Linked DNA regions of Oryzias latipes. The protein of the gene in region 1 purifies or fractionates together with the protein of each later gene. This does not show direct contact. Links are inferred from orthologs where the notes say so. Each region holds a gene or a part of one and is shown on either strand. Other genes may lie near its edges.

What was found.
Region 2: the proteins of lamtor2 (region 1) and slc38a9 purify together in Homo sapiens (co-immunoprecipitation; 5 studies listed by BioGRID and IntAct, with this or other methods). This does not show direct contact. The link is inferred for Oryzias latipes from reciprocal best matches to the Homo sapiens genes LAMTOR2 and SLC38A9.

Annotation. Positions count from the first base shown.
Region 1 is NC_019874.2:28,614,173-28,630,970, reverse strand, and holds lamtor2 (ragulator complex protein LAMTOR2), read left to right. Parts: upstream 1-7,852; 5' UTR 7,853-7,998; coding exon 7,999-8,066; intron 8,067-8,682; coding exon 8,683-8,845; intron 8,846-9,795; coding exon 9,796-9,885; intron 9,886-11,800; coding exon 11,801-11,857; 3' UTR 11,858-12,077; downstream 12,078-16,798. Other genes in the region: uncharacterized protein LOC101171775, read right to left, coding at 421-537, 1,550-1,741, 1,870-1,926, 2,885-3,001, 3,913-4,083. UniProt on the Homo sapiens protein: As part of the Ragulator complex it is involved in amino acid sensing and activation of mTORC1, a signaling complex promoting cell growth in response to growth factors, energy levels, and amino acids.
Region 2 is NC_019870.2:27,092,955-27,109,149, forward strand, and holds the end of slc38a9 (sodium-coupled neutral amino acid transporter 9), read left to right. Parts: intron 1-601; 5' UTR 602-742; intron 743-2,244; 5' UTR 2,245-2,285; coding exon 2,286-2,377; intron 2,378-4,373; coding exon 4,374-4,503; intron 4,504-6,615; coding exon 6,616-6,734; intron 6,735-6,848; coding exon 6,849-6,912; intron 6,913-7,034; coding exon 7,035-7,128; intron 7,129-7,964; coding exon 7,965-8,135; intron 8,136-8,449; coding exon 8,450-8,509; intron 8,510-8,811; coding exon 8,812-9,003; intron 9,004-9,214; coding exon 9,215-9,322; intron 9,323-9,631; coding exon 9,632-9,738; intron 9,739-10,987; coding exon 10,988-11,101; intron 11,102-13,183; coding exon 13,184-13,332; intron 13,333-13,528; coding exon 13,529-13,618; intron 13,619-14,316; coding exon 14,317-14,482; 3' UTR 14,483-14,962; downstream 14,963-16,195.

The DNA.
Region 1 (16,798 bases):
AATTTTAATTTTTCATCTTAAAACTTCCTTTTTTCCAGAAATGTGAGAATAAAGTTATCATTCAAAGTATGTAAAAGTATGCAAAAAGAAATTTGAGCCAAAATTGCATTTACATGCACATATATGTTAAAAATATAGAAATTCCTTCTGAGGGTCTCTTTTTAAACTGCAGTGACAGGGGTTTGCATCTGACTTCATATTTCTGTCCAACACATTTAATCAGATTGAACAGCAGAGATCAGGCTGGTCATGTTCTGTTCCTTCTCAAATCTGTAAAGGAGCAGAAACCTGCTGGAAAAGCAGAGAAGAGGATTTAGATTCTTCCATCAGATCTTCTCAAACACCTCAAGATCTGGGCTTCCTGCTTTCACAATAAAAGCTCCTAAAAAAGTTGTCGTTGGCTCATTTTTTGTGCCTCACCTTGTTTTGTTTGTTGCTCCTCAGAGCTTTGATCCCCAGGATGGCGGCGCTGATGACCACACAGAGCTCCAGGACCGACAACACGATCAGCACCCCGTTCAAGCCCCTCAGGAGGACCTGGACAAATCACAGTAGCCCACAAGATGTCCTAAGAACTTCTGGGGTTTTATGGGTCAAATGAAGGCTAGTTTGCTTTCAATTTCAGGGAAAGTTAGTGGTAGGGGTGCAGCCTTCCAACAACCTCACTCCTGATTGATGAGAGTGGTTGCCCTAGAAATGTTGACTCTGACCAATGACTGATCACTGACCATGTCTTGCTCCAACATGGCAGCATGCGCAGTCAGAAAAATGGGCGACAGAATTGCCTTCATTTGGCCGGAGTAAACCATTTTCTGGGGGTGACGTCACTCGCTCCAGTCCTCATGTACGGTGGATCCTTGCTTTTTTGAGGAAGTTAAGTTTTTTTTAAAACAACCCACTATGAGTAAAATGTGCAAAGTTTCCTCTTTACGTTTTACAATAATAATAGATGTTTTTCTCTTGTTTTTCAACTCTCAAGAACCTTCATAGAAAACTAAATCCAGTATTATAGAATGGATACAAAGATGCGATCGTGATTGAACATTTATGTAAATTTGGCAAACGGTACTCATTGTACACTGGGGACACAGCACGGAGAGGATTGATTGACAAGGTCGGCAGCCAGTCAGGTTGCAGAATAAATCTGCTGTATAAAACAAGAAAAAGAAAAAAAGCATGGAAAGTTGCATTAAAAATAACAGCAAAACAACAAGATGAAGCATGTTATAGCGAGGGACCGCTGTACCTCCTGGTGCTTCAAACGGAGCTCCTGAACTTGCGGTTACAACTATAACCATAAAGCTCAAGAAGGTAAACAAATAATCTGTTTATGAGCTCCATTCATTTACATAACACCTCAGGGTCTATAGAAATAAGGACATCTTTCAAATTTAGGCTTGAGACCTCAGTAAATGTCTTGCTTTAAATTCCTGATGTGGCCCCAGACTCTGTCTCCAGTGCCCCTGGGGTAATTGGAGTTTGACAGCCCGGGTTTAAAGGTAGAAAGGAGGTTAGTAGAAAATGAAAGACGTCCAGCTGCATAACTGACCAGTGTCAGCTGTTGGATCTCGTTACACTTCTCCTGCAGCGGTGTTTGGGTCACTGTGGCAGGGGTTGGGTAGCGATAGTACCCATAGTCGCAGCCCCAGGGTTCCATGGTTGCTATGTAGATGCTGTAGAGAACGATGGCTGTGATGGACAAAGCAACTCCTGCTACGCTCACGATGACGTTAAGGACCACCTGTGAACCCAAAACGGGTTTACACAGTTGAACATGAAACACGGTACTGCTTTAGTGAAGACATGCAGAGCTTTTTTTGCTCCCAATTTGAAAAGAATAAATAACTAAGAAAGTAGAAAACTGCTCACCAAACACCGACTTGGAAACCTCTCCGATAAAATGCACATGAAGCCAAATGCAATGAACTAGAAAAAAAAGGAAAGGTTCATCATGTCCTGTGGTGTTTAAAATGAATATGCTAGCATATTTTCTAATTCTGAATTTATACAAATTTTAAATTATTGTTTTATTTTTTATTTCACCTTCATCACTTCACGGTATCTTTTGGCTTTCATGCATATTTCATTTTTATATGTATCCATTATAATGCATAACTGTTTATAACCATAACTTATTTAGAATTTGAATCAAAATAAAGGATCTGCTTCAAATAAATATTAGCACTTAGCATTGTCATCAATGATCAGTATAATACATAACATACAAGTTATGCATATAACCCTGAGCCCTAGCCATTTTCTGTCATTCTTCATCCTAATTTATAGTCCTTTCAGAAGTCCTGCATCATACGTTTGAGATCAACTGGCTTTAAAAGTGCTATTTAAAATATTCTTCTTGTAAATTTAACAATCTTAGCTTTTTTTTTTGTTTTATTGTTTATAACTCCATTATCAATTAACAAATAATACAGCATTTTATTTTTTATCCTGTACCTCCTTCTTGGCAGTAAAATCAGACTTTTTTAGGTTCTTGTACTTCCTACCTTCTTTAATAGCTAAACTAAAGATTTATTTTATCATAATTTGACCTTTTGAACTTTTTTGTGTCATTAGAGCTGGTTTACAATTTATTCTGGTCATTTATTGATTGATTTAGGATTTGCAGTAATGTTGAGTTTCTTCTCAAATATCTACATGTCTTGTTTTTTTCTTTTGTCTGTCATATTTCATTATCAAATCCATTATTCATCTAATTTTGTCTTTAACTTGCACAATGTTCAGCATCAATTGTTTACAGCGTTGTCACCATAGCAACCACGCATTCTCACGTCAACTCCTTCAGATGAGGAATTAAGTTCTGGGATTTTGCTTTCAGCATTCTTCAGTTCATGAATGAAATCCAGTTGTTATGCAGGTATCTTACCAAAGCTCCCAACCAAATAGGAAACTCTGTCATATTTAGATACCACGCAGTGAGCTGACTCGTGCGGAGGATTAATCCAGGGCCGATGTTAAGGAGCCCAATCATAATCTGCATAGCCTGTAAGAGAGACACAGGAACTCAGTGTTCTGCAAAAACCTCATCGTGTTGTTTGCAGTTTTCTGTCATGGATTTCAAACATCACAAACAAAACATCTAAAATAATAGAAAATATCCAGATTAAGATAAGGTCTTCCTGAAGAATGTGTTATTACTCCAAATTATGAAGGCACAAATATGACTGAAAACTTCACAGTTTTTGTAGGTTTAGCTTCATTAACCAGAACTTTAAATGTCAAATAGGACTCTAGAACAGTTTGTGACAAACTGCAAAACATTCTCCTAAAGTTCAGCCCACTGTTGTTTTTCCACATCCATAGAATCCAAAAGGAACATTGTTAGAACGTTCTAGCACACTGTATGGTCACATGACTTTGCTAAATTCAGTGTTTCCACACATTGGACTGGAATGATGGACTGATCAGTTTCTGCTGACATCACGTGTGTGTTTGTCACAAGAACAGGCAGACAGCTGGATCCAAATGCAGCAGGTTTATTAGCTCAGCTAAAAGTCCACGAAGCTAAATCATGGTCAGGCAGATATGAGATAATCCGAGGAGAGACAGGGTAGTCAGGATCCAGGCGAGAGTCGGGGCAGGCGGCAGGCAAACAGAGTCAGAAACCGGGTCAGGAGACAGAGGATCCGGTCCAACTACAACGCTCGGTAAGGAAGGCAGAGCAGCACAAACGATACTTCTCACTGAGTGAGGCTCAGGGCAGAGCTTAACTATGCTGTGGTTGATGAGTGAATGAGAGTCGGGTGTGTGGCATCCAGGAAGTGTGGTTAGAACTCTGGAGATGGTTCCCACTGGTGACCAGAGAGGGAGACAGAGCTCTGACTTCTGACAGTGTTGTTGGCTGTGATGTCACTTTGTCGTTTTTACATTAGAGTAAAACAAACCAGGACTCACCCCAAGGATGGACAGAGACGCTTTCTTCTTCAGCGGCTGAGACACAGAGCACAACGCCGGGCTGTAGCAAAGACCTTTGAGGATCTGGCAGATGGGGGGGCAGGAACTGCTGGGGTCGGAGTTCAGGGTGATCACTGTGACCCCTTCACCTTTGGTCATCATCACAGACATCCTGTCTGCGGATGTAGGAAAAATATCAATTATGTGAAAAATTGCGATATTTTATTGGTCAGTAACAATGTTTAAAAAACAAATTTTAAGCAAACATTTAGCTCAGCGTCTTACTTTTGTGTTCCACTTTAACCCATTGATTGTATGTGAGAACTGGAATGAGTGAGCGTGACGTCACTCATAGAAAATAGTTCACTTCCTGGCCTGTGCTATCCATGTTGGAGCCAGATGTTGTGAGTTGAGCTGTGATTTGTTCAAATTGAGCGGAGTCAACGTTTCTATGGCAACCACTCTCTGAAATCAGGACTTAGTAATGTTGGGAGGTCACACCTCTACCATTTTAAAGTGGACTACACAAAACATGTCAATCAAACGTTTTAAACGTTCGACATGGGTGCCAGCAGGCTCCCCTTACTTTGCTTGAGGCATCTATAATTTGAATACCTTTAACAATAGAAAATGTATCAAGACAAAAATAGGATTATCAAAGTTTATCAGAAGTCCTTCTGACCAATAGATTGACTGAGAAGTCTAAAGAAGTTTATGGGATTTAGGTTCCAAACACTTCCTGTTTGGAACAACAGGGAGAGGGGTCACTCAATCCAGTTCTCATATACAGTTAACCACTAGTTGGCAGTGCACCACAAAACGCCTCATTTAGCAGCTCTCTAATAAGATCTAATGAGAACCGTCTCATAGTAGATGTTTACTCTTCAGTGAGGCGGCAGATGTTGTTCCACAGCTCAATGATGCTCAGTTTAACCTGAAATAGGCAAATTTGTTTCTTTGATCTTTTAATCTATCATCATCATCATATAGTTCAATAAAGCAGTTTTGGAAATGTGTAGCACTTTATTTTCTTAATCATGCTTACTGGTTAAGGCACCTTTCAGCTTTGTTTTTTTTTTTAATAAAAAATATCCTGTTAACAAACCAAACAATACTGTGTTGAAAAAATATTCCATAATTTATCTAAAGAAAAGCACCATGAATTTGCTTTGGTAAAGCAACTTGTTCGCAGTCTGTGTCACACAGCCACTACGTACATTTTGTGCACAGGTGAAAATTGTTCATATGTGAATATACGTCTTTACATGAAATTTTCACAGATGTACAAATGAACCACAGATGTACAATGGAAGATGTAAGAATAAACCACGCAAAGAACACGTAAATCTACATAGAACATGAATTTACGTAATTTGAACATGATATGTGCGCCGTATACGCAAAGTTAAAGGTTTACATCAACAGTATATGCATGAAACGTCTGTTACACATACGTGGAACGGTCATGGAAAGTCAAAAATGTGTATGCGACTCGCATAAATCTCACACAATTGCTTAAGATTTACTTAATAATTGTGTGTAAAGGCCCGTACACACCGGGACGAATATTCGCCAGGCGTTATTCGCCAGCGTTTTTCGCCATGTTTTTTGTGTTCACACCCAGGCGATTTTCGCTGACAATGAGCCGAGCCAACATGCAATTTCATTCCCTGACGTTAGATGGCGCTTAATGTAAACAGAAATACTCCTGTACACAAGGTGGCGCTGCGCAACTTTATGCTTCTTAAAGTCGCTTTTCACTCAGAAGAAGAGAGCAAGTATTTACGCGATTGTCAGAATCAAACAAAGAAAACATGAATATTTCAAGCACCAGTAGCTCCAACTGGTGCTTGGTTCGGGGATATTTTAGAATGTCCGTCATTATTTCTTCGTGGCAGTGTAGACGCTATTTGGCGTCTATCTTCTTCGCTGGTATGTGTGCTCAGCAAGGCAGTTTTGTGTTTGAGCGCCCCCAAGTTGTGTTTTACTGTCACTTCAGAAGCTCCAGACACGTGTGCAAAAGCGCCATTCTCATTGGTCCAGTAGATTTCGACGCGACGCGTCGAAAAAAAAAAACGAACCCGAGGCGCTTTTTTTTTTTACGCTTTGACGCGTGGCGTTTTTTCGCGTCGGTGTGCACACTCTCATTGGTGCCCTTTGTTTAGTCACGAGGCGTTAAATTCGCCGACGAAATTTGTCCCGGTGTGAACAGGCCTTAAGCTATGTAAACTACGCATAAACTGCAAAATTTCAAAACCGCTCAAAACCAGACTCACGCAAAGAGTCGTTGGCCGAAATCCTCTACAGATCTGTGCCCATTGACAAATGAATGAATTACGTTTATCACATATGTTTCACAAAAGACAGAACTTAAGCAAAATGTGTGACATGGCCTTAACCCTTGTGTTATCTTAGATGACCCCACCCTTACATTGACGTGTTCTCCCTGCCATGACAAAGGTGGATAAAGGTGGAAAGATTTCATGTAATCCATGGACACCAGTGAAGATCACAAATCATTGAAGAAAAAAGGTTCAGAGCACTTCTAGTGGGTCTACATGACCTAACTCTCTGTGTTAAAGTGCCTATGATAGCACAAGGGTTAATGTTCTGATAATGAAATAAAATGTATTTTCTGCCATTTTATAAAGGTGTATTAGTATTCACTCAAAGTTTTGCAAATTCATACTCTTTTTAAAATTGGTGATATTTAGCCTTTCTTGCAGCCACACTGTACATACTGATTAGATTTTTTTTGTAATTTCTTTTCTCCAAAAGACACTTTTATTCGTCATCATCATTTGTCCTTTCAGTTGCAGAGACTAGAATAGAAAAAACTGATTTTTTGACCTTTCATCTAAACTTCAGAGGTGTCAGAATGACCTCAAAGAGTTTTACTATAAATTTAAAGAGTTAACTTTTTTGTCACATATCTAGAAGGAAATGTGTTTATTTCCTTCTGCCAAAATGAGACTACATCCTCTCTGATTTTACACCACGTCTGTAGCTTTCAATGGTTGACGGTATAAACAAAACTGTAAACGGATGCACTTGTGTGACTATAATTTTACCAAAACACATATCAGAGAATACATATTAACCATGCACTCATGTACCATAGCAGTTACAGCATGGAATCAAATCAACTTTTGTTTATACAAATGATTGGTTTGTGTCTTTTTTATAAGTGTGTCCACTCAAACACAACAGATTTACCTCTTAGAACAAAATCCTCTTCTTACAGACAAAAAAAAAACAATAATATCCTCGGCCCGATCACTTTTTCTGATGTCCAAAGGGCAGGAGGGAAACGATTCTGCCAAACACTTTGCGCAAACATGTCCTCCCACCAGGAAGCCAGCAGACAATAAAAACCTCAAAGCAGACTAACCTTTACTGTAAGGAGGAGTGTCAAAAGATTTAAATAACACTTCTTTGGTTGAAGTAGAATAAAAAGTACACTTCTTTGAAGCATAAAATCTTTGAGATAAAAACTCTAAATATGACAAAGGAGATGAATCAAGGAGGTGAAGTTTTCGTCGTTCACTGAAGCAAACTATATTTCCCATGATACATTTCCAAAGAACTGGTCATATTCTAGCAGCTCTAATAGGTGTGAGTGTGAATGGGAGTGTGATTGTGGCCCTGCGACAGACTGGCAATCTGTCCAGGGTGTCCCCTGCCTTCACCCACAAGTGGCCGGGATAGGCTCCAGCAGCCCCGTGACCCAGAAATGGACAAAACGGAGGAAGATGAATGAATGGCCATATTCCAGTTCTCAAAAATGTTTACAGACTACATGGGAAAGTAATTTAAAACAAAAAGATTTGTGAAAAAATCAGGAATAATTAAAAATTTAAAAATAAAGTTTAAAGAAAAACATAATAAATATAAATAGGAAACATGTATTTGGATATAACTGCAATTCCCATGATGCATCTCTAAATGTACCGGAAAAGGAAACAGAAGAAGAATCGAGTCAGCTGACTTTGCTCTGTTATTGAGCAGTTCTCTCTTCTTTTTTAAGCCCCGTGTTTATTCAGTCAGATCATTTTTCTGGGTTTTTTCTCCTGAGAGAGGTCGGCCATGTTGCGACCCAAAGCGCTGACGCAAGTTCTCAGCCAGGCGAACACGAACGGCGTCCAGAGCACCCTGTGAGTACCGCGAGCTAGCAGGCTAACATCCAGCTAGCTAGCAGCGGTTTGTTTGCGTCTAGCTCCTTAGAACTCTTAAAGCTCCCCTGAAACGACACGTTTATATAATTATTACTTCACCAACTTAATACTACTTTTACATTTTCATTATTTATTGCAATAAATACAAATATATTTTTTCAAGATTTGTTTTCCGCTGTTAAATCAAATACAGTTTTACACGAATTTCAAGCAGTTGAATTTTGATTTCAAAATAAGAGTCTTTTTAAAATATATTTGGTTCGTTTTTATTTTTGCTTAGAAAGTCTGTTCAGGGTACAAAATATCATTATCAGGTAGAAAAAAAGCAAAAAAAATCGATTTACATTTAAAAAGTGGTGTGGGAAAATAAGTAATCTGTAATGTTTGATGTAGATCTGTTTGATATAGATCTGTTCATCGTTTTAGCCATTTTGCATCAATCGATCAATTTCTGTCCTGGAGACCTCCTGACAAAATTACTTGGTTTTCATGGTTTGAAAACGGAATGGCGTTTGTCTTAAAACTTTGTCACTGTAACTTTTCATCATTGTGTTGTTTTTGTGTGTAATGAACAACCGTCTCTCTGTGCGAGCAGCCTACTGAACAACGAAGGCTCCCTCCTGGCGTACTCCGGTTACGGCGACACAGACGCTCGAGTGACCGCTGCCATCGCCAGCAACATCTGGGCCGCCTACGACAAGAACGGCCACCAGGCCTTCAACGAGGACAAACTCAAGTTCATCCTCATGGACTGCATGGTGGGAACTTTCTCCTTGTTTTCCTTCAGCCCTTTTGTTGAAGTTAGATTCTATGAATGCCCCAACATCTCTGAAGGGGTCTGCAATTTGAGGCATCACAGCTGTTTTTTTTCCCCCTCCATTGTGACTTTAAAGAAAAAATGTGTATTATTTAAATAAAATAATGTGTTTGTAGTTTTGCTTTAGCATGCATACATGGTGGCACCTGTTCAGTCTGGTCTGTTTCAAACGGGACCAAATGGCTCTTTTAATGTTGTACAAAATATGAATAATGGGACTTGAGCAAACCTTCAGATATGGAAGGAGCTGGCTCTTGATACCAATAGCACCACAGGAAGACACCAAACACACACTCCTTGTACTCCTTGCCCATTTTTTTTTGCCCCGCTCTACAGTTTTGTAAACATTGCTCAAGTCAAACGTGTCAACGTCCTGCATCATTTTTCTCATGATACATAAATAATCTTCGCTCATGCAAACAACCAGATGATTTTCTTATTTCTAACTTCCAGCTCTGAGGCAAAATGTTTAACTTAATTCCCGAAAATCAGCGAATCCACACAGTAAAACCCCCACTCTGCCTTAGGAGGAGGGGCTTTGTGGAGAGTCTTGCTCTGTAGATGGAGGGGAAACCTGCTGCATTTGGTCGCATAAAAAAAGCTGAGATCCATTCTTTCAAACCTGTGATTCAGTTCGATTTGCGCCTCATCGCCCCTTATTCAGTAATAATTCATGTCTGCACATTAGCTGAGAGCTGCTGAACTGAGTGAAGGTCAGGCTTACATAAATACTGTCGTAAATCTGAGCATCGCAAACTAACAGCAAAGCAGTGTTCTGTGAGAAATCCATCTGACTTAGTGGATTTATGATTGGAAGTTACAACCTGTAAAGAAAAGTGACTTTTAGTCTTTGGACTCGACCAATAAAAAGGCTTTTTTTTTTTTTCTCAGGAAGGGAGAGTGGCCATAACGCATGTGGCTAACCTGCTGCTTTGCATGTACGCCAAAGAGACGGTGGGCTTCGGGATGCTGAAAGCAAAGGTGAGGGCGCTGCTTCCTCACATGGGTCTTCATCAGCTGTGGTTCCTCAACGAGTCCCGATTCCTGACCCCACAAGTTCAGTTCAACCAAGGACATTTATTCACTCGTTTATTCATTCACTCTCCTCTATGTAGTTTAGTGGAAGTGAAGCATATTTCAGATCAAATTCCGATTCCAAGTTATTGGATTTGGAGTTGCTGCCGATACCGAGTTCCGATCTGTTACTGTCGTAGCACATCCAAAAAAAAATGACAAACTTAATAAACAGATCAACATTTTCCAAATTTTTAAAATTTTATTAAGCTTCTTTTAGCATTTTACACGTAAACAGAGCACTTCTGGGAAGTATCTTCAACAATCAAGGAAAAGTAATGCAATTATCAAATAGAAAAAATAGTTAACTATAAACTAGTACAAACTTGTTAATAGTTAACTAGTCAAAATAGGTTAATTAGCCCTATGAGAAAGTTTGGTGACTGTAGCCTTAACATCTTCAGAACTGTTGAACATTTTTGATCAGATGTGATTCATTTCCCTGTTATAATATCAAATAATCAATTTCCAAATTCATCGTTGTAGCATAATTATGATGAGTATTTGTGACTTTCAACAGAACCATTGACTAATCGTTAGTATTTTTATTATTATTATTATTATTATTATTATTATTATGTATTTATTTATCTTGGTCTATTTTTCCCAGAACTTGCACTTTGTAGGCGGTCCCTTATCAGCCCACCATCAGTTTCATTCTCTTGAAAAGAATGAAAAAAAGAGCAATTTTTATTTATTTACTATTTACAGTCTTTGTAAGTCGTTGGTAAGTTAAGATGAGCCAATATAGACACTTGCTGTCAGTATAAAATGTTTGATATACCGTACTTATTGTGTCAGGAAGTCTGAATCTGTGAACAACTGGTTAACTTTCCCGAACTGTGTTTGTGCGCCTCCTGGTGGCGTATTCCTGCTCCGCTTTACGACAATAAAACGTCCTGATCCATTCAGGAAGTGCCGACTTCTAGTAGAGTATTTATCTGTAATGTTAAAAATATATATATAACGGTAATTTCATTTTGATTTGACTTATTGGTTTATTTCAAGCCTTAATTGAATTAATAATAATAATAGATTGGATTTATCTGTGCTTTTCCAGACACTCAAAGCGCTTCAAATGTGTCCATTATTCATTCACTCTTCATTCATAGTTGGTTCGCGCCTACGGTCCCTCGGACCATCACTGGGATCATTCATGCACATTCATGCTGGTAGCGTTAAGGGTCTTACCCAAGGGCCCTCACTCACTGGTGTTTACTGCTCACCAATTCAATTGCTTGCTTGTTAATTCCCAGCTCTGTGAAGCGAACCCTGGTTTCCTGCATGTCAGTCCTAAAATATCTCTGATTTATCAAGGTCATCACAGAAAGAATGAAATGCATTGATTAAACAAAGACGCATTTAGGTCACGTTTGATTGATTACATATAGTGATAATTAACTACAGTCAAGTAGAACTTGATTTATTCTTTAAAGGGGCAGGAAGGAGCAGATTTATATAAACCCACCCTTACTGAGTTTTTTTTTTATATTTTTCATAATCCAGTTTATCCTAATAATGATAATAGAAACATTACAATCCCTGATTGACATCACTTTTTCAAACACCTGCAGAAGAACAATCAGAGAAGAGGAAAAGAGCAATGAAAAAATGACAGATTGAGGGAAAAGCTTTCTTTTTAAAAGCTTTTAAACTTTATCTTTAGTCTTTGAAGAGGCCATATTCCCCAGATTAACCTTGGCTCTCATGCACAATGATCTGTGCAGCTCTCAAAGTCGGGTTGGAAATACGAACACCCGCCGGGATGAGCTTCTGGTTCCCCACCTGAACCCGCCTTCTGTGACCGTGTGTGTGCTTGCAGGCGGAGGCGCTGGTGCAATACCTGGAGGAGCCGCTGACTCAGGTGGCGGCATCGTAGTGAAGAGTGCTTGATCTGAGGCCTTTGCGGACTTCTGTAACTTTCTGCTTTTCATCTGTGTGGGTGTGAGTCTCTCCAAAATGTCCTCCATTCTGCCCCCTGCTGCTCAGAAACGGATCATTTTGGATTCTGGCAGAACTTTGGAAAATCGTGCTTTTCTGCATTTACAATTATCATGCTTTTATTTTGAAGGTTAATAAAAATGTTGGTTTAAAAGTTGGACGTGTTTCCTGTTATCTTTAAACCAGATTTTAAAAAGCTAAAAGTCAAGAAATACTTTTTAAAAACATCTCTTTGCTCTTTGAAGGAAGAATTGATGGATTTTTATTTTCCAGATGAGAAACAATAAACATGTTTGTTTCATTTCATGATTCAGTCTTTTCACTTGAATCATGGAAAATCCAGCTGCAGCTTTAGAGGACAGGTGTAACAAAACAGGTGAGCATGAAAAAGAAGAAATAAAACAAAGGGAGCCTTTTAAAACTTCAGACTTATTTTCACTTTGTTTATAACCTCAGCGGTTGGTTCTGAGCTGCAGTCATCCTCTCCATTCACTTCACTCTCACTCCTTCACCCTCCCAGTAACTCAGGTTAGTGACATGAACCTGCTGCTGTGGGGTTGCTGGTTCAAGTCCACGGCCAGCAGGAGGAGTCGTTCCTCTACTGTTGAGCAAAACAGAAAAATCCAAAGCAACCTTTGGTTTTTTATCCGGCAGTGTCTCTGTATAAATATTGATGACAGAATCATTTATTAGTGAAAACTTTTTATTTGATCAAAACGGCAGAATTTGATCAGAAAGTAGCTCAGTTTTCAATTCTGATTACATTCTTTTAAATTCAGAGTAACAATTCTCATTTGTAATTTTTCTCGGTGTTTAATGTATATATTTTTTTTATTATTCAAACTTCTGTTTTTAAGACAGTTTTTGTGTTCTGTGTTTTTTCTTACATAAATAAAGTTGTTTGGGTTGGAATCCTTCCGTGTGCCATTTCAGAAAAGTGATCACTTCAGCAGAAAGGAAAGAAGCATCTGGAATGTGAGATAATTTGATCATGAAAGACAGAACTTCCTGTGATTACAGCAGAAAATTACTGACAACCACCGTGTGACGTATAGATAATTCACTCATGGTGTAACTAGAGAGACCTAAATAAAAGTGCGAGGCTGGAACAGTCACCCTGAGGAAGAGCGGTTCGGAGCAGAAGGGTTGTCTGTTTCCAGCTCTCCTCGTGGAATTCCTACCTGACTCTTGGCGTCTGTTTCCTTTGTTAATACTGTAGCGTCCCACTGACGCAATAATGAAGCGGAGGCGACCGTTTCTAACCGTGAGGCTTTTTAATGACTTAGGAACAGTTACTGTCGGCCGTAACCACGCCAAATACAGCACAACGATAATCAGAACTTTCCATCAAAGCATCCATCCTCCCCCAACCCCCTCGTGCACCCACGACCCCTCCTTTATTGTCTGCTCCTCCGCCCATTCTCCCGCTCATCCAATCACACTGGAGCAACGATGTAACCCAGAACACATTAACAGAGTCCCAAAAACGTTAGTCGCTACACTGCCTCCCCCCTACAAAGTCCCACGTCCCGTGGGGTCACACACAAAGTCACGGAGGTGGGGGGGAGGCTGTCTCAATCTCCTGGGCCTCCGTGGAGCCGGCACGGATGGCGCCATGTGATGTCCCGAGACCACCTGCTGCTGTGGGGGTGCATGTGGGGAATTGGCGGGGGGGCCAGCCCTAGCATGGGTGGGGGTAGCTGAGGGGGGCAACGACCTCCCAAAGTACTGCTGTGGCCGTGCATCACCCCTATACGGAGCCAGTCTGTCCCTGTGGAGGGTCACACGCCTTCCTCCAGGTGGGAGCTCAACCCTATAAACCACTTCTCCCAGCTTTTCCAGCACCTCACAGGGCCCCACCCACTGACAGTCCAACTTAGGGCATCTACCCTTTTTCCTTTTCGGGTTGTACACCCACACCAGGTCTCCTGCCTTGAAGTCTTTGCCTTTGGCCCTCAGGTCGTAGTTCCTCTTCTGCCTTATGCCGGCTTTCTCTAGTTGATTGCGGGCAAAGGCATGAGCCGTGTCCATTCTGTCCTGCAGCTTCCTGGCATATTCAGGTCCAGGCGGAGCTCCCAGGGCATCAGGGGGTTTCCCAAAAGACATTTCTGCTGGCGTGCGTAGCTCTCGTCCCAACATGAGCAAAGCAGGTGTGCATAAGGTGGAGTCCTGCACTGCAGACCTGTATGCCATCAAAACGAGTGGAAGATGCTCGTCCCAGTCGCTCTGGTGTGCTGAGGTGAGGATGGCTAGTTGCTTCACCAGGGTCCTGTTAAAACGTTCAACCAAGCCATCACTTTGGGGGTGTAAGGGGGTGGTCCGTGTCTTCCGCATGCCCAAACGCTCACACATGGCGGAAAACACAGCAGACTCAAAGTTCCTCCCTTGGTCACTGTGAATGACCTCAGCAGCGCCAAACCTAGAAAACATGCCCTCCACCAGGGCATCTGCAACAGTCACTGCTTCCTGGTCTGGGATGGCATATGCTTCCGGCCATTTTGTAAAGTAGTCCATGGCAACCAGAACAAATCGGTTACCTCTGTTTGTGCGTGGAAACGGGCCCATGATGTCCACTGCTACTCTCTCCATTGGTGCCCCTGCTGCCAGCTGCTGGAGCTCAGCGCGGGACCGATCAGGGGGGCCTTTATGCGCTGTACAGATGTCACAGCGGCGGCAAAAGTCTTCCACATCCCTCCTAAGCTGGCCCCAGTAGAACCCCTGGCGGATGCGACGGAGGGTCTTTGACACGCCAAAGTGTCCAGACCCTGCAGCTCCATGGCAACCTTGGAGGACTGAGTTTCTCAGCGTACGAGGGACCACCACCTGCCACCGTTCTTCTCCGGTAGCCGGCTCTTTCCAGGCCCTCTGAAGTACTCCATCCTTCAGTCTCAAAGCATCAAACTTTTCGAAGAGTCCTTTGGAGCCGGGGGAGCACCCTGCCACCTCCCCCCACTCAGGTTTGCGGCCGGCCTCCACCCACTGCAGCACTGGTTGCAGGTCAACATCCTGCTCCTGATGCGCTCTCCATTCAGTGGAGTCCACACCCTGCACCAGTCTGCAAACTGGCCAGCTGCTTTCACCGGTGTGGCTCTGCTCCTCTCTGCTGATTACTGCTTCCCGAGCCTCCCTTTTCTCACAGTACTGGCAGCCTGCCAGGGCACAGGGGCGTCGAGACATGGCGTCAGCATTAGCATGGCGGGAGCCCGGTCTATGCTCCACTGTGAAGGAGAATGAAGCCAGCTCCTCCAGCCAGCGAGCGATTTGACCTTCTGGCTCCTTGAAGGTCATCAGCCACTGCAGAGCAGAGTGGTCTGTCCGGACTGTGAAGGGGAGGCCGCACAGATAGTATCTGAAATGGCCTATGGCTTTGACAACAGCCAGGAGCTCCCTGCGAGTCACACAGTAGCGCCGCTCCGCTTTACTGAGGGTCTTGCTGAAGTAAGCCACCACCCTCTCTCCTGCTGACCCCATCTGGCTCAGCACGGCCCCCATTCCCACATCACTGGCGTCCGTATCCAGAATGAAGGGTAATTTGGGATCTGGGGGGGTCAGGATAGGAGAGTTTGTCAGAGCCTTCTTCAAAGAGCTGAAAGCCTGCTCACACTCCTGCGTCCAAACAAAGTCACAGTCCTTCCTCTGCAGGTGAAACAGAGGGGCAGCAATGCAGGAAAACCCGCGAACAAACCGCCTATAATAGGAGGCTAACCCCAGGAAGCTCTTCAAGTCTCTTAGAGTGGTGGGCGTTGGCCAGTCTCTCACAGCTTGCACTTTCTCCTCCAAAGTGCTGATGCCCTCGCCCCCAATCTTGTGACCCAAAAACTCCAGTTCTCTTCTCATGAAGCAGCACTTGTCAGGGTGCAGCTTCAGACCTGCTGCAGCAATCCTCTGCAGGACTTTCCTCAGCGATTCCAGCGCAGCCTTGAAAGACCCCCCGTGTACCAGAATGTCATCCAAGTAGACCAAACATTCCTGACGGGGGATGGAGGCCAGCACCTTCTCCATCAGGCGCTCGAACGTGGCAGGAGCGTTGCACAGGCCAAAACTGAGCACGCGGAACTGCCACAACCCTCTCCCGGTGCAGAAAGCAGTCTTTGGTCTGGCTGCGGGGCTGAGTGGCACCTGCCAATATCCACTGCGCAGGTCCAATGAGGAGAACCAAGATGAGCCAGACACCAAGTCCAGAGACTCATCTATGCGGGGCAGCGGGTACGAGTCCTTCTTGGTCACCCCATTCAGCGGCCTGTAGTCCACGCAGAACCGCATTTTCGGACCCTTCTTTTTCTTGACCATTACAACCCCTGAAGCCCAGGGGCTGTCTGACGGCTCGATGATGCCGCCACGCAGCATTTCCTCAATCGCACTGTCAGCAGCCACTTGGTGGGCAAGGGGGAGGCGGCGGGGGCGTGTTTTAATCGGGCGGGCATCTCCAGTATCGATCTCATGATGAACTAGGTGTGTCAGCCCCACCTCATCCTCAGAAAGTGCAAAAATGTCTCTATACTCCAACAGCACCTTCCACAGTTCATCCTTCTGTCCCGGCTGCAACCCATCACAGCTGCGCCTCCAGATCTCCTTCACAGCTGTCACTCTGTCAGCCTCAACCACTGCGTTCCGCTGATCTGAGGGCAGTGGCTGCGTCTCGATCTTAGGTTGAGGAGTGGTGGGCAGCGGAATAGAGTAGGGCGGGGACAGGTCCTGTTGCATCTCTACCGCCCTTGATGTCTCTCGGGGTAAGCACTGGGCCCGAATGGGTCGGACCATGGGCACCTTAGGCCCCCCAGGGAACTCCAGGGTATTACCCCCTAGGTCCAACACACATCGGGCTGCTCTCAAAAAGTCCAAGCCCAATATGCACTGATCCTGCACAGCTGCAACCCAC
Region 2 (16,195 bases), on another chromosome or scaffold:
GCAACCCGGTTGAAAAACACTGCTCTAGCAGACATTAGATGAGAACAAATGACTAATTTTAGTTGTCGTTTAGTCCTTTTCGGGCTATTTAGAATGAAAAGAGGTTACCTTTTGATGCAGTTATTTGAAATTGGACATAAAAATAGAATTTTCTGCAGAAATGTGCGATTGCTTCAGCTGGATCTGAAGATGCGGAAGTTAAGAATAACATGGAAAATGTATTGCTAAAGCAGAAAAATGTGTCAACATTTTCTAATCCCTCAATGGGTATTTAATTGTCTAAAGAAACTGAACACGAATAAAAAAAAAAGATTGCAAATAAGTAATGATATTATCTGGGAAAGTGACCAAATCTGCTGCTCAAAAATGTTTGGTTATCGGTGCGCGAAAAGTCCCATATATAGTCAAATCTGCAAAAGAACAACTAAAAATGTGTCTGATATCATTCAGGAGAAGTGGTTAAAGCGTGAAGGTGAACTCCTGGATCAGAAGGTTCTTGACATGACGGCAGTCAAAGCAGTTCTGTCAAATGATCTTCCCTCTCAGTTGAGTCCATCCCAGAAGCAGCATTCATCCTCTCCATTCACTCTTCTGCCATCAGAGCAGAACCCACTGACCCGCCTAAGACCCGCCTCCGAGTCCCGGGCGACGGCGGCGGCGACGGCGTTCACTGTGGAGACGACCTCTGCCGCGGACAGACGGGAAGCGGAGCTTCAAACGTCCACTTAGACTCTTTTCCAAAGTGAGTGAAGTAGAAAAGCAAACACCGAGCGGTGAACCAAATCTGAGAGCTGAGCTGTAAGCAGAAGTGGAACAGCAGAAGCACTGAAAGCAGAAGCAGAGCACAGCGTTTACAGAGAGCCCTGCAGAAACCAGCCTGTGCACAAACCCTCACTCCTGTCCTCATCCAGGGCCCAGATACTGGTTGGAGCTTCTGCACACGCGTGTTGGTTCTCCCAACCGTCAGTGGTCACCTCAACCCCCCCGCCCTTCTGGAAGAAGCTCTTTTTTTTTGCTCTCAGAGCGTTTTGGCTGCAGGTTGAGTCTGTGCTGCAGAATATTTGAGGTCTGCTCTGTTTTTTTGTTTTATCTTTGCAGCATCTTAAAACTGTATGTGTCTGGGTTGCACAGCGGTGTAGCGGTCAGCACTTCTGCCGGGTTTGAATCTTGCCTGAATTTGCATGTTCTCCTTGTGCACGTGTGGATTTTCTCTAAGCAAAACATGCTTGATAGAGTAATATGGGTTATTAAAGACCCACTCCGATAAAAACGGTGTGTTTAACATGTTCTTGTGGCATTTTTCTATTGATGGAGGACATGTTTAAAGAAAAAAAAGAATAAACTACATTTCTGAGTGGATCAAACAAATTAAGTTTAAAGAAGATTGTATTGGTGACGTACAAAAATACGCTGGACGGGCCACAAGCTCCCTGCTCTGCTCCATTCTCATGGATCCACTGTCAGGTAAACAGATCCATGAAGGTCTTTGTTTTCCTGGTAGCTCTGATACTGCTCGCTATTTTTGTTGCCGGTAATGTTAGGTTGGGGTTCTGAGGGGCTGTAAGCTAGCAGGAGAGCATGTAAACGGAGAGCGGTCAGTAACGGGGAGGTTGAACTCTGAGGTGAATTCCTGCCGGTCTGCAGAAACTACGTCCTAGAAAAAACAAAATGTTTCCTGATTTATTTATTATTTTTTTTAGTTAAAAAGGCCAAATCATTAAAAGACCACTAGGAAGACACATGGGAGTGGGACTTTAAGTGTGAGCCTGTGTCCCTGTGATGGACTGAGGACCTCAGTAATCTGGATTCTTCCTCTGACTTTGCAGAACAGCAGAGGGACGTTTGTGTCTTTGCTTTGCCGCTGCGGTGCTGCACATTTGTGGTCACGATCTTCAGAATTGGCAGGTTTGGTCCTGGTTCACGCAGATCTGGCTTCCTCTGATGGTCCTTCTGTGAGGAAGACGCACAGGCGTAGTGTGAATGTGACGAAGCGGGAACCCTTAAAGGCCTTCTCGGTTACCGTGGCGATTAGCTGCCAGTGATTCCTCAGTAGTCTGACGGGACGCAGCTTTTCTTCTTCCTCCTAGTGGGAGCTCGTCTCAGAGGGTAGCGCCACCTAATGAGCAGTTGTTGGAACTGCAGGATTTTTAGCCAGTCTGGCTCATGACCAACTGGGGGGGGGGGGGGGGGGGTATTCATCATCCACAGAACTGACCCAGGAACCGCTTCACTGTTTGTGTGCAGCAGGTGATGAGAGCTGGGAGGCTTCAGCTGAAGGCGTGATCATGGAGGAGGAAGGCCGGCCTCTGCTGAGCTCGCAGCACGCCGCCGACTCCCCCCAAGCCTCTGCGGGATCGGTGGACGCCAGGGCCAAAAGGTGGGACCGCCAGTCGTCTTTTCCCTTCACGCCAGACCCCCCCCCCCCCAGTGTGCTTCAGTGTTTGTGTTTCAGATGTTCCCTTCAGACTTTACAGCTGTTCAACGGTCACTCCCTCCATGTGACTTCGGTGGGATTGATGGGAAAATGGGATCGACCCTTGACCCCCCCCTCCCCCCGCTTCATCAGATCATTTTCTGTCCTCCATCAGCTGTTCTCTCTGACTCCACCCACTGTCACACTCCTGTGTTTTCTTAACATGAATACTGGTATTTGGGGGGGGGGGTCACATACAGGCTGACAGATTTTGTGGAGTTAAATGTTCCACTCTGAGCCCCCCCCCCCCCCCCCACTCCTCTGGTCAGCTTCCTAGTGTTCACTTTGAGCGTGTACGCTAAGACTCAAGCCCCCCCAGCCTGGCCCCCACATAAGCAGTTTATGTGAATATCAAAGCTGTTTGGTATTTCACAGAGACTAGCAACCCCCCCCCCCCACACACACACACACACACACCCACCCCATTAACATCCTGCCACTGAAGAGGACGTTCCATGTTTGTGTTGTCATTTCTGTGAATCCATGTTGTTGATGCTGCAGTGGGGGGGGGGTGGATGATAATAGAGGCTGATGCTGCATATTTTCTCCTGGGGGGGGCAGATTTTTCTCCATGACTGGAAGAACTCTGTGCTCTGCATTTGTGGAAAAGCTGTGGGATCCAGGAAGAGGCGAGTCTAAAGGAAATGTTTCCGTTTTGTCTGCAGGTTTTCAGTCGGGCTGAAGCCAGAAATGAAGCTTTGATACGTTTTTATTCAGGTTCAAACACGGTTCCTAAACAAAACACATCTAAATAGCAAAGTCCCAATTCCTTTTTTTTTTTTTTTAAATAAAAGTGAACTTCTAAACAAAAAAGGCATAAATATAAAACGATACATGTCAGAAAATAAAAATTAAAAGTTTAATTTTTGTAAATGGGATTAACCCTTGTGCTATCTTAGCACATTAAACGGAACATTTTTTATATCAATGCGCTGTCTTCAAAGTCCCAATCTGATCATGTTTTGGTTTGGTTCCCAGTGGTCCCAGCCAAAATAGAAAAACTTGTTGTTTTCTAGGACATAGTCTCTGCAGAGCGGCAGGTGTTTGTCAGAAATTCCCCTCTGAGTTGTGGGCGGGCCCGTTGGTGCAGAGCCTCCCCACCAACCCTTATCAGTCTCCGAGGGCTCTCTGTTTACATTTTCTCCCGCTATCTTACAGCCCCTCACATTAGCGGCCTACATCACTAATGAGCTCTTTTTCTAAATGTAATTTTCTTCATCTGCTTCCAATTCACAGCGATAAATACTCATAAATGCAGTTTAGAGCTTCATTTTCTTTACAGTGTAAATATCCTCCATCGTCAGAAAATGTTGGAAACCCAAAAACAGCCTTATCATCACAGTGGGTCTATAAAAGCTAAACTTGGTTTCATTCTCAATTTCTTGACTCTTAATCTTTTTAAGTCATCTCCAGCTTTGGTGGATCATCATGTAGCTTCAGACACAAACCTGCTGAGAACTTAAAGTCGTCCCCCCCCCCAAGCAAGTGGTGGGACTGAAACCACCGGAACGCTGAAGTCATGAGAAACTCCAGGAAAAAGCTGAAGTGGAAGCCAGACTGTCTGACTGAAACGAGGTGCAGCACAGGACAGGCAGGAGTTCTAGGTGGAGGTTTAAAGCAGAACGACGCATGGGATGGGGTTTAAGGTGGTAGGACAGACGAGGCCGAGGTTTAAGGCGGAATGACGGATGTTGGTGACTCTGTCAGAATAAAAACAGATGTGTCAGAACCATAAACAGCTGCTTGGTCCGTGTGTCTCTCCAGCCTAACGTTATTGCAGCTGTAAAGCTGACGCTGCACAGGAAGATGTCCTCTGTCACGCTGACTCAGGAAACTTTACCCGTCTGAGCTGCTGACTCTGCAGAAGGTGTCTAAATAAGGGTTTCTTGTGCTCCCGCAGGCCTTTCTATGTGGAGCCTCGAAACATCGTGGACCACGACCCTCAGGAGAGGATCTCTGCCGAAGCCGCCATCCTCAACAGCAGACTGCACTACTACAGCCGGCTGACGGGCTCCTCTGACCCGCTGCTGGTGGGTTTGCTGGCACCACCAGAAAGATCAGGATCTCCGTCCTGACAGCTGCTCTAAAAACGCTTCGATGCACATTTGATCCCTTGTGCCATCTTGTGGGGTCCAGATGACCCCAGTCCCAACGTTAACGTGCCTCGGAGGCACGTTAACGTTGGGACTGGGGTCATCTGGACCCCACTAGACAGTGCGCTGAACCTTTTTTCTTCAATGATTTGTGATCTTTACTGGTGTCCATGGATTACATGAAATCTTTCCACCTTTATCCACCTTTGTCATGGTAGGGAGAACACGTCAATGTAAAGGTGGGGTCAATTTGACCCCGCAAGATAGCACAAGGGTTATAGCAGGAGTCGGTGTTTGTATGGAAAAGAGCTCATGAAGGAGAGATTTGTAGGGTTGAAGTCCACAAAACGACCCCCTGAAATCTTTTCAGCGTTCAGAAAATGTGCAGTTGATGTTAGAAACTCCACAGAAATGGAAGGAAGTGAAATCCCTTCAGTGTCCGGTGGGTCTGGGTCAGGAGGAAGACTCTCTGTCTGTGGCAGCTCTTCCTGGAGGACGCAGAGGTGTTCCTCAGCCAGACGTGGAAGTGCAGCTTCACGCCTGACTCACATTCCTCATCCGCCTCATTTTTTTACAGTTTTACAAAATCCTTCTCGCTTAAAAACTACAAATAATCGCCATATTCTTTATGTCTATGGAAGGGTTTTTGTAGCATAATTAAAAACAAGTCAATACCAGAAATGCTTTTTTATTTTCAAAATGAAGCTGCATATTTTTAACTTAAAATTGAAATGAAAAAACAATTATAGCATTAGGCTAATATTTGCTAAAAATATTAGCCGTGGAGGAACTTAAAACTCCGTGCGGGCAATGAGCATCATGGACGTAAATATGTGGGACTTGCATACATCAGCCTTTATTTTGTCTGGACACCACTGGAAACCCAAATTCATGTGATGGTTTAGAGCAGGGGTCGGGAACCTATGGCTCGCGAGCCATATATGGCTCTTTTGATGGTCACATGTGGCTCGCAGACAAATCTTTAATTATACTTTTTTATTCATTAGACCAGTCCTTCTGGGGCGCGATGCGATGCCAGAGGCGCGCAGTAGTAGCGGTGCTTGGAGAACAAAATCTACACCAGCACTATCAGTTACTATTATCTATTATTTCACAGAGTTTGTACCAGCCGGAAACCTGTGAATTGCCGTGCCTAAAACTGGGCGCTCCCGTCTTTGAGAAAGAGCGCGCAGATGCTGGGACGGGATGTGTGAGGAAGAAAGCAGGGGCGGGGGGCACGGCCAGTAAGGTGAACCGCGCAGGGAACCTTAAAAGAGGTTAAGTCTCCGTGCCTCAGTGTGGGAAAGGGACACTACATTAATGTATGGCTCTTTCGAAATTACATTTCAAAATATGTGGCGTTTCTTGGCCAAAAAGGTTCCCGACCCCTGGTTTAGAGTATCTCAGATCTGCGTAGCAGCACTTCCGTTCGGCGATCCGGCTGCCGGTCCGAAGACAAAGCTAGTCCTGGGGAAAGTTTCGACGGAACGCGGTGCGTCTGAAGGCAGAAATGCTGCGACGTAGTCCTGAGAAGCTGTGTAAATTCATCAGGAGTTCACAACCGTCACAGCTCCTCTGCCGCTAACACAAAGCTACAAGCCTGGCCGCACTGCTCCTCGCATAAGTCTCTTAGCAGCCGGACACACGGTTATAGCACTGACGTCATCGCCCCGCCTCCCCTCCGGAAATGCTAAGTCGACTGAATTATGCAACACTATTCGCAGGGTGGATGTGAAAATGAAAATGCGATCCCCTCTTTGCATTTTCGCTTTAATTATGACACAGAATAAGCGGTTTTTAAGTAGAAAATGAAAAAGCATTTTGAAGTATTGACTTTTATTTTTAATTATGCTACAGAATCGCTTCCATGTGTGTCAGAGTATTAAAACAAGATGACATTTTTTCTGGTCGTTGTTTCTTATGCTGATGTCAGGATGCTGTCAGATCACAGAGACAGAAAATCATGATGACTTTACAGCTTTCAAAGGCTCATCAATATCAGTTTGGCTCCAACTGACCCCCCACCCCCTCTGCTGATGTTTTTCCCAGAGCCCCCCAAACCATGTGGTCCCACAGCCTGAGGAGATCTACATCTACAGTCCTCTTGGTATCGCTTTCAAGATCCCAGAAGGAGATCAGACTTCCAAGAACTCCAGCCTCATATCCATGTGAGCCCCCCCCCCTCCCCCCCCCGCCCCCCCCCCCCTCCCCCCCCCCCCCCCCGCCCCCCCAAGCGCCATATTCCTCCTCCCACAGCTCTGATGTTCCTTCTGGTTTTGCAGCTTCGCCATCTGGAACACGATGATGGGGACGTCCATTCTCAGCATACCGTGGGGCATCAAACAGGTGACGTCTTTTAGTTCCACCCCATGGAGCGGCTTTTGCCGTCTGAGCGCGCTCAGCAGCTGGAAACCTGTTTCTGTTCTGCACGCCTGAAGGCTTCCTGTCTGTCTGAACTCTGCTTGCAGGCTGGCTTCACGCTGGGAGTCGTCATCCTGGTGCTCACAGGGCTGCTCACTCTGTACTGCTGCTACATCGTCCTCAAGTCGCCAAGGACCATCAGTGAGTCAGGCCCCCCCCCCCCGTCAGCATTCAGGCCAGACTGTGATCAGATGCTAGATGTTTGATTTTATTTGTTTGGTTCAGAAATAGTCCAAAGTACAAACAAAGAAACTCCAACCTTTCTCTGTTTTCACCACGAGTCGAACGCCAAAACGGAGAAATCCTAAAACCCAGAAAAAAAAGTTAATTTTCTAAAAGAAACCAAATTTAAAGCCTCTTTTTCCAAGTGAATCTGTTTATTTAAACCCACAGATCAGTTCTACTTGGAGTTCTGTTCATTTTGGAAAATATTCCTTTGGTGGAAGCCTAATGGATCCAGTAAAACATTTGAGGGGGGGTTTGTCCTCATAAAGTTTAGCCCGTATGTCGGTGCCAAACGCTTCATCACCAAATTCAACACCTAATTCTGAAATTCTGATAAACATTGTCATTGAAAAAATAAACAAAAACAGGTTTGACATTTTTGTTTAATGGATCCAGCACTGATTTGATGACGATACCAACCAAAAAAAAAGGCCAGATGGATAGATGGGTGGGATTTAAAGAACATTTTTCAACATCAAAATACCCCCCCGGCCCGCCCCCAATAATATTCTGTACATGGCTCAACAGAGCTGCAACATTTGGCGGTTCTGGTAGTTGAGAATGGAGGGGGGGGGGCTTAAAGAAAGTCCTCAACAGCTGCTGTCTCAGATGAAAATCATGACGGTTCTACAGGATTTGGGCCTGAATGCTCGTCAGAGCAGATGCTGCCTGACAGTCTTAGGATTTTCCTCACCTTTCAGGTCCTTGAATCGGATGTTTTCCACGTGAAATGGCAGACCTTTGTTTTTCAGAAAGCGTGGATACCACAGACTGGGAATTTCCGGACGTGTGTCGGCACTACTTTGGAAAGTTTGGCCAGTGGTCCAGCCTCCTCTTCTCCCTGGTGTCGCTCTTAGGAGCCATGGTGGTTTACTGGGTCCTCATGTCCAACTTCTTGTTCAACACGGGGCAGTTTATCTACAGTGAGTGTCACACACACACACACACACACACACACACACACACACACACACACACACACACACACACACACACACACACACAAATAAACAAAATAATAATATCAAAGTTTCCTGCAGGCGGAGAAAGTTTCTGCCGTTAGAATGGTTCTATGCTGGGATGGTTTTCTAGGTGCTGAAGTTCTTCACATCCTTTCTTGTTGTCATGGTAATTCTGTACCTTGTGGGGGCGGGGTGGGGGCTGGCCTTCCACGTTTACCTTTAGGCCTCATCGTGTTTTTCTGTGGTAGAAAGCAGATTTCCTGTGTCGTCTGCAGATCAGGCTCACAACATCAACGTGTCAGATTCTCAGTTTGGAAACAACGGCTCCGATCAAGGTAAGCGTTCCTTTTGAACGGCTAAATCATCGTTACATGAATCTTACTTAGTGGCATTGACTGTCATTTGTTTTTCTTTGGAATATTTTCTGATAGTTTTGATTATTAGTATGGACTTCCTTTGTTTTAAAAACTCATTTTCTGGTACTTTTCAAAAATAAAACGTCCTTTAGGATCAGATAAGACAAAACAAACATGTTACTTTTTTCTCTCTGCTGCCGTGTCCTTTGGACCGGTACCGGTCCGCTGGCTGACTGCGTCTGCTTGGACTGATGCGGTATCCCGTTGTTTTTGGTTTGCAGTCATCTGTCCGTACCCGGTCATACACCCGGAGGGGGACGACTGCGGCAGCGGCGGCGGCGATGCCGGAAACGACATCTCCTTTGGGCGCTACTGGAGTAAAACCAACACGGTCCCGCTCTACCTCATCGTTCTGCTCCTCCCACTGCTCAGCTTCCGCTCCGCCTCCTTCTTCGCCCGCTTCACCTTCCTGGGTAAGACAGATCCAGATCCATGGGGTTAGCTGGAGCGGGTTTCCCTCAGACTTTATGTGGAGCAGACATGGAGGAAGCGTGGCGTTTATCCGTTCAGACCTGCTTTTTCTGATGCTGAGCGGAGTCTAACGGGTCAGAGGGACGTCGTTTCAGTTGTTTGGTTGGAGGCTAGCCAGGTGACGGCTTCATCACTTCACATCGTCTCTTCCAGGAACCATTTCTGTCGTCTACCTGATTGTTCTGGTCACCATCAAAGCTGTGCGCCTCGGCTTTCACCTGGAGTTCCACTGGTTTGACCCCACCCACTTCTATGTTCCAGGTAAATCCTGTGCAGATGATGGAACGCTCTTTTATGTCTCCTGAACGGAGATCGCGCCTCTCCCTCTGGCGTGGAGGAGACGTTTTTATTTATTTATTTGTTTTATATATTTTATAGACAAAATGTCAGACAAGCAAAACAAGTAGTTCAGGTGCTCTTTTGACCATTACAAGACAGAATGAATAAAGAACAGTAAATATTTAATTGCCAGTGACATTCTATTTAATATGTTTGATCAGGCCGCCCAACCTTTTGGAGCACTGTGGTGGTCCTGAAGCTGATGTGGGGTCTCTCCTCCTCCTGTTTCAGAGTTCAGGGCGCTCTTCCCACAGCTGACCGGCGTCCTCACTCTGGCCTTCTTCATCCACAACTGCATCATCACACTGATGAAGAACAACAAGCATCAGGAGAACAACGTGAGCCGTCTCCGTCATCAAAGTCCTTGAAAACAAACCTATTGAATAAGTCTAGGCTGTAACTGCAGTTATTTAGGGACAGTAGGCCTCCCCGATCAGTAAGTAGCTGTTGGATGAATCTAATAACCTTTCTCTCTATTAACGTCTACAGACTCAGACAGATTTGGGTCAGACTGGACAGACGGATCATTTCATTCTATAGCTGCGTCTACATGGACAAAAGTAATCGGAATGAACGCCTGATCGGAAGGAAAATGCGTCATGTAAACACAGTGTTCGGAATACTCTGCTCCGATCAGACTCGTTTGGATCAAAATTCTTTCAGATAGGTGGGTTATGCCGACCGTTGATCATGTAAACGGTTCATTCCGAGCGTGTGTCACTGCTGCTCTGGTTTTACGTCACGCAGAGACGATCCTCCAGAGAAAGCTTTGGAGCGCAAACAGGACCGACCGGCTGGTCCGTGCGACTGAACCGCGTCTGTGAGCTCAGCAGCCGGACTTACAGCTTTGTGCTTACGGGCAGGGGGGGGGGCTTAGTCCTTAGAAACCGTTTCTAGTCGTGTCCTGACAAAATAAAGGATGATGTTATTCCCACCTATTTACATGCAGCCAAGATGCAGAGTGCTGCATTTCCCGCATGGATTTATGTTCATCGAAGGCTAAATGTTGTTGTTAGCGCCTGTTAGCCTTCAACTAACCCTTCTTCCAGCTCTGTTCCGCCACAAAAAAAGCACCGACCACAGGGATTACAAATAAATTGATGAGCGAACAGGCGCTTCAACATTAAAACCACGTTTAGAGGATCAATCTTTGATCGGATCAAGTTATTTCTTGCATGTAACCGTGGCTTATGATGAGGTTTTTTTTAAAAAATTTTAAAATTTCTTTTTGATGAGGTCTTTAAAGCCTGTCTGGAGTAACATGCAAACGGCGTTCCTATCCCAATTAACATTTTGAAAGTTTTTCTCAGTGTAGTTTTGCTTGCTTTTTTAATGTTTTTATTATTTTTTTTAATTTTGCTGCATCCCTGACTCTGTCATCTTTAAAGTCCACACTCTGGACTCTGTGTGTCGGTGCGTAAATGTTCTTCTCTGAGTGTTACTTTAGCGCCACCTTGAGGACCCAGAAAGAAATTCAGTTAATTTGAGATGGAAATGTGTCCAGACTGGACAGAAATGCAGAAAATCATGTTGACGGTGTTTGTAGATCCTGATAGTTTGGAATGCTCCTGTCTGTTCATGCTTCAGGTTCGGGACTTGTCTGTGGCGTATCTCCTGGTGGGGCTGACATACCTCTACGTGGGGGTGTTGATCTTTGGCTCCTTTCCTTCACCGCCTCTCGTCAAAGACTGCATCCAGCCGGTACGTTTTTTTTAGAGTCGTGGAAAAACGCACAGAGGTTGGTCAGATTTCCAGCAGACGGTCCAGCGCTGAGGGGCTGAAGGGGGGGACACCAGCTGCACACGGACCTCATTCTGGATGGAGACCCAAGGTTTCCCATGATCCTCCAAATCATTGCATTGTTAACCACCAAGAAAAGCTTTAGACCCTTAAACTGTTGAAGGTTCGCGTGGTTTTCAGCCTCCCCACATGCAGCTTTTCAGAACAGTTCCACAGTTCTGCTGGTGTCGGTTCTGTTGGTGCTGGAGCCTTTAATGGTATTCTGTATTATGTGTGAGGGTACCATAGTCTAGAGCAGCGGCTCTTTCCACATAGCTACATTCAGTAGCCAGCTAGTGAGAAATGATGAACTAAAATCAGGCCTTTTTCAAAAATCTCCAAACTTTTTTTTTTTTCCATTTGTCTGACTGAACATAGTTTTGCATTGACCAGTGGGTTTGCTAATAATTCAAAACAATTGAATACATCTAACACCTTTGTTTTAGCGGTGGGGTAAGAAAGTTTATGTATTTTCCAGATTCTGCAGCTTGTTCCGTGTCAAAAACCGAGTTTGGTCGGAAATGTTCATCATACAAACACTTCAACTATGAGAGACAGAATGTGGTAAAAGAATCCAGGATTTTAAATAATTTATTTGTATAAAGGTGAAGAAAATTGATATTTATCTCCCACAAACAGACAAGGATTCTGTTCCTCACAGACCTGTTTCTTATTTTATAAGAGGCTCTGCCTGTATTCATGTCACCAGTTAGAACTGGGTATCTGTATAAAGACAGCTGTCCACACCCTTAACCAGTCAGACTGTTGCCTCTCCACCACGACCAAAGAGCTGTCAAAGGACGCCAGGAACTAGACTGTAGATCTGGACGAGACTCGATGAACCAATCTACAATAAAACAAGCAGCTTGGAGAGAAGAGATCAAGGCAGAATCCAGATTCTTCCTCTGCTTCTACCCACCCCCTACATTTAGCCCTCCAAACGGAGAGTTATGGAAAAAAAAGGTGTCTTCTAATTCGGACGCCACTCTCTCTTGATGACGTCATCAATAGTCGCAGGTCATCCACATTGTGGCGTAGCTGCCAGCGCTCGGAAAATGCATAACCACATCGGTTTTATAACGGTAAAAAGTCTTGCTAAAACAAAAAAGTGATGACTTGCATTTAAATGTAAACTTCAGTGCTTCAGAGCAAACCCACATGAAGAAATGCGTTTGTCCTCCACGGCACAGCAACGCCGCAGAGGTTTGCTATTAAAAAAGCTATTTCGGACACCCCAATCCTTCTTGATACCCCTGCAGTTGAGGATAGGGAGAACCCGAAGGGGAAGAGTTCTGATTCGGCCCAAGAGTTGGAGCAATTATTAGAAAATGGAGGATCACAGACAATCTCCCTCCACCTGGAGCTCCGTTAAGATCTCACCTGGTGGAGAATAAATGAGAACGGTGGGGAAACGGCCCAGAGCGATGACCTGAAGAGAGCTGGGATCACGTGTAACAAAGGGCACTATTGCTGCTCCTTGAAAAGAAAAAAAAAAGCATGCTTATTTTCTGCACCGTTATACAAAGAAATTCTTTCCTGGATATTTTTTTTACATCTTTCATCTCTCAGACAAACAGACCAAACTCAGCTCTTTGTGTGGGAACTCCTGCAGAATGTGGGACTCAAATACTTTTTAGCTCCATTGTAGAGGAACCTGAAGTCACTGTGGTTTCCACCTTTTTTTATTTTTACTACGTCAAAATGCTGCTGCTGAACACTCACACACGTGGGAAAAAAGGTATCTTTAACCTCATTCAGGGCGTTTCATGATCAGCACGTGGTTTGATCTATTCTGACTGTGTAACAAACGCAGAGCGGTCAGAGTTTTTCAGCAGACTCCTGGCCGGTGTAAACACCGTCTGATGTGAGGAGCAGACCGCAGTCTGTTCCTGAACCATATGGACTTCAACCAAAGTAGTGTTCAGGACGGACGGACGGGTCGGAAGCAGAGAGAACCAGGTTCATTTTCAGGATCAGAGCTCAGACCGGATCTTTGTCTTCCAGAACTTCCTGGATAACTTTCCCAGCAACGATGTTCTGGTCTTCGTGGCTCGGATGTGCCTGCTGTTCCAGATGGTCACGGTCTATCCTATGCTGGGGTACTTGGTGAGGGTTCAGGTCATGGGTCAGTTCTTTGGAAACCATTACCCCAGGTACGATGCTGTCAGAGACCATGATGTTTGGTTTTCTGCTTCACTTAATAATAAATTCTCTGTGTCGTCATGAAAAGAAACCCAGTTAAAGCAAAGCTCTGAACAGAACCCGAATAATGTCATGTCAGAGGAACATGAGACCATTAACAGAGTTATATAAATAATGTCTGATAGTGGTTCTGCATTCTCTCCTCAGCTTCTTCCACGTTCTGGTTCTAAACATCTTCATAGTGGGGCTGGGCGTTCTCATGGCCAAGTTTTATCCCAACATTGGATCCATCATCCGGTGAGTTCTGATGAACGTGAACGCTCCCGGCTCAAAGCGAGGCCTCTGAGGGTCTCAACAAGTTCAGATGTTGATAAAAATGTTGTTTTTTATGGTTGTTTTTGCCCTTTTTTATTAAACCTCTCTAGTCTCCTGGAGATGGAGGGAGGGGGGGGGGGGGATATTCTTTCTTAGATTTGATGGGAAGTTCGTCCTCAAGTTCAGGGAAAAAAGACTGTAAAAGGTCAAAAGAAAGTAGTTAAGAAGGTCAATACTCTTCCTTTTATTAAATCAGTGGAAAGACAAAAATAATTCTAAAATAAGGCAAAAGTTGTTTCCAAATAATAAAATGTAAATGTTCAAACTGAGCATCTTTTGTTTACAGTCTTCGAGGTCAAACAGTAATCAGAGTAAATGTAACTGAGGGTAGAGGATCTTCATCATCTGTCTTCTTGAATGACAGAATCCTGAACCGTATTTAGCCCCTCCCTCCTCCATATGGGGAGCCGCTCAGCCGCCTCCATGTGGGTCCGGTCTGCGGTCCTGCAGGAAGATGCGCTGGAGGTCCCGGCCTCCGTCGTCTGCACGCTCTGAGGCCAGCAGCCCTCAACCCCCCCCCGAGCAGCAGGACCTCCACCGGGCCGCAGGTCCGCGTGCGTTTAGGGCGGGTCCAGCGGGATGCTGACGCCTCTCTCTCTCTCTTTCTCGCTCTCCTGCAGGTTCTCTGGCGCCATCTGCGGCCTGGCTCTGGTCTTCGTGTTTCCCGCTCTAGTCCACATGATCCCCCTGAAGCGGGAGGGCCGGCTCACCTGGCTGTCTGCCGTCCTCCACAGTTTTCTCATTGTGATCGGCGTGGCCAATGTGGTCGCTCAGTTCCTCATGTGAAAGGCCGTCAGACCCCCCCTCCCCCCGCCCCCTCTAGTCAGTTATGAACTAGGACTTTGAAGAGGAGAAGGGTTGTGATGAAGATCGAGTAACTTCGGAGCTTGATTCATATTTACGTTTGTCTTTGGTTGCTACACGCCGTTTAACAAAACCGTGCACGCCTCACATGCACACCTCACGAGCACATCACTGGCGTGACCTAACAGGAAAAGAGGCGGGACTCGGCGTGAATGCGTCTCCACTGAGAGGTTCTGAGCTCGTGTCCTCATCCGACCCGCTGAGGTCCTGCTGGACGGTTCTGAGAGGAGCTGCGTTCACCGTCACCACCGAGGACCCCGGGAAGACGACCTGTTGGCCTTTTTCAGGTCTGACCTTCTGCGTTTGTTTGAGGCCCGTTCATCCAATGAACCGTCCTCCCCGAGTTTTATGTTAGGATTGAAAAAAGGGAATTTTGTGAGAAAATAAAAAGTTAGACTTTAATAGACTAAGCGTCCTCATTTCCACTCAGACCATCAAGGTGAAGTTCAGCTCGGCTGGATCAGAAATGATTCCCTGGAAGGATCAAGTCGGACAAACATCGGTGTGACAGGAATCTTTTCTAACGTGCTTACTTTTGGAAATGTCCTGAATTCTCATAAAAACGTCATTGGTGAGGCAAACACTACTCCAACTCATCACAAGGGGGCGCCTGTGGACTGAGGTACTTTGAAGCTTTCATCCTATAACCCTTGTGCTATCTTGTGGGGTCCAGATGACCAGGAGTGGGATCATCTGGACCCCACAAGATAGCACAAGGGTTAAAGGGGATCTACCAAGTCAATGAATTTCAATTATTGTTTTATAATTGACGTTTTCTTATCGCTCTAGTAAATACATTAAAATTCCACCCGATGATCTATTTTCACCTCATTTCCCATCATCCCGTTATTTGCGCTCATTCCCACTAGCTATTTTTACGTTAAACATGTTAAAAACACTATTTTCATCAGAGTTGGTTTAAGACGATGTTATCATCCAGAAAATAAATTACAAAATATAATTAGAGATGCAGTTTTGACCCCAAATAAATTCCTTTGAACCTTTTAACTATTTGCACTGAGACTAAAGGAAGCTCTGGAGGTCAATACAACATGGAATTTGACTGAGAATCAACATTTAAATGAACATTTTTGTTTGAATTAAACAGTTGTGGAGATTAATCATGTGGCTCCACTGATTCTCAGGATTCTGAAAAGACTAAAAAACATTTCTCCTCCGAGCTGGACTTCAAAACCTGATCAATAACTCAGATTTTCTTCTAAAAAGGAATCATTTATAAGTATGTGGTTCACTTCCTCGGCCCTCCAGAGAACCGACACGCACACATTGTAGTTCAACAGCTAAAAGGAGTTAGAAGAGCCACAGGTTTCCCGTTATCTGCTCAACGGGACACAGCGCCCCCGTGTGTGTGAAAAGGGAAATGCATGTCACCGAGTTTTTTTTTCTTTCTTGGTTTGACATTTGCAGATTTTACAATAAAAAAGGTCAGGAATTGGCAGATGTTCGGGTCCAGACTGTCTTCATCTATTCAGCGGAACAAGAACACTTTGGGTCAACGGATGCGTTTCATGAACCAAGTTTGCAACCAGGCAGATACTCGCCCAAAATGCAAATGATAAACTTTTTATTTAAGACACTTTTGAACATGAATTTTTTTATTATGTTTTGAAAAAA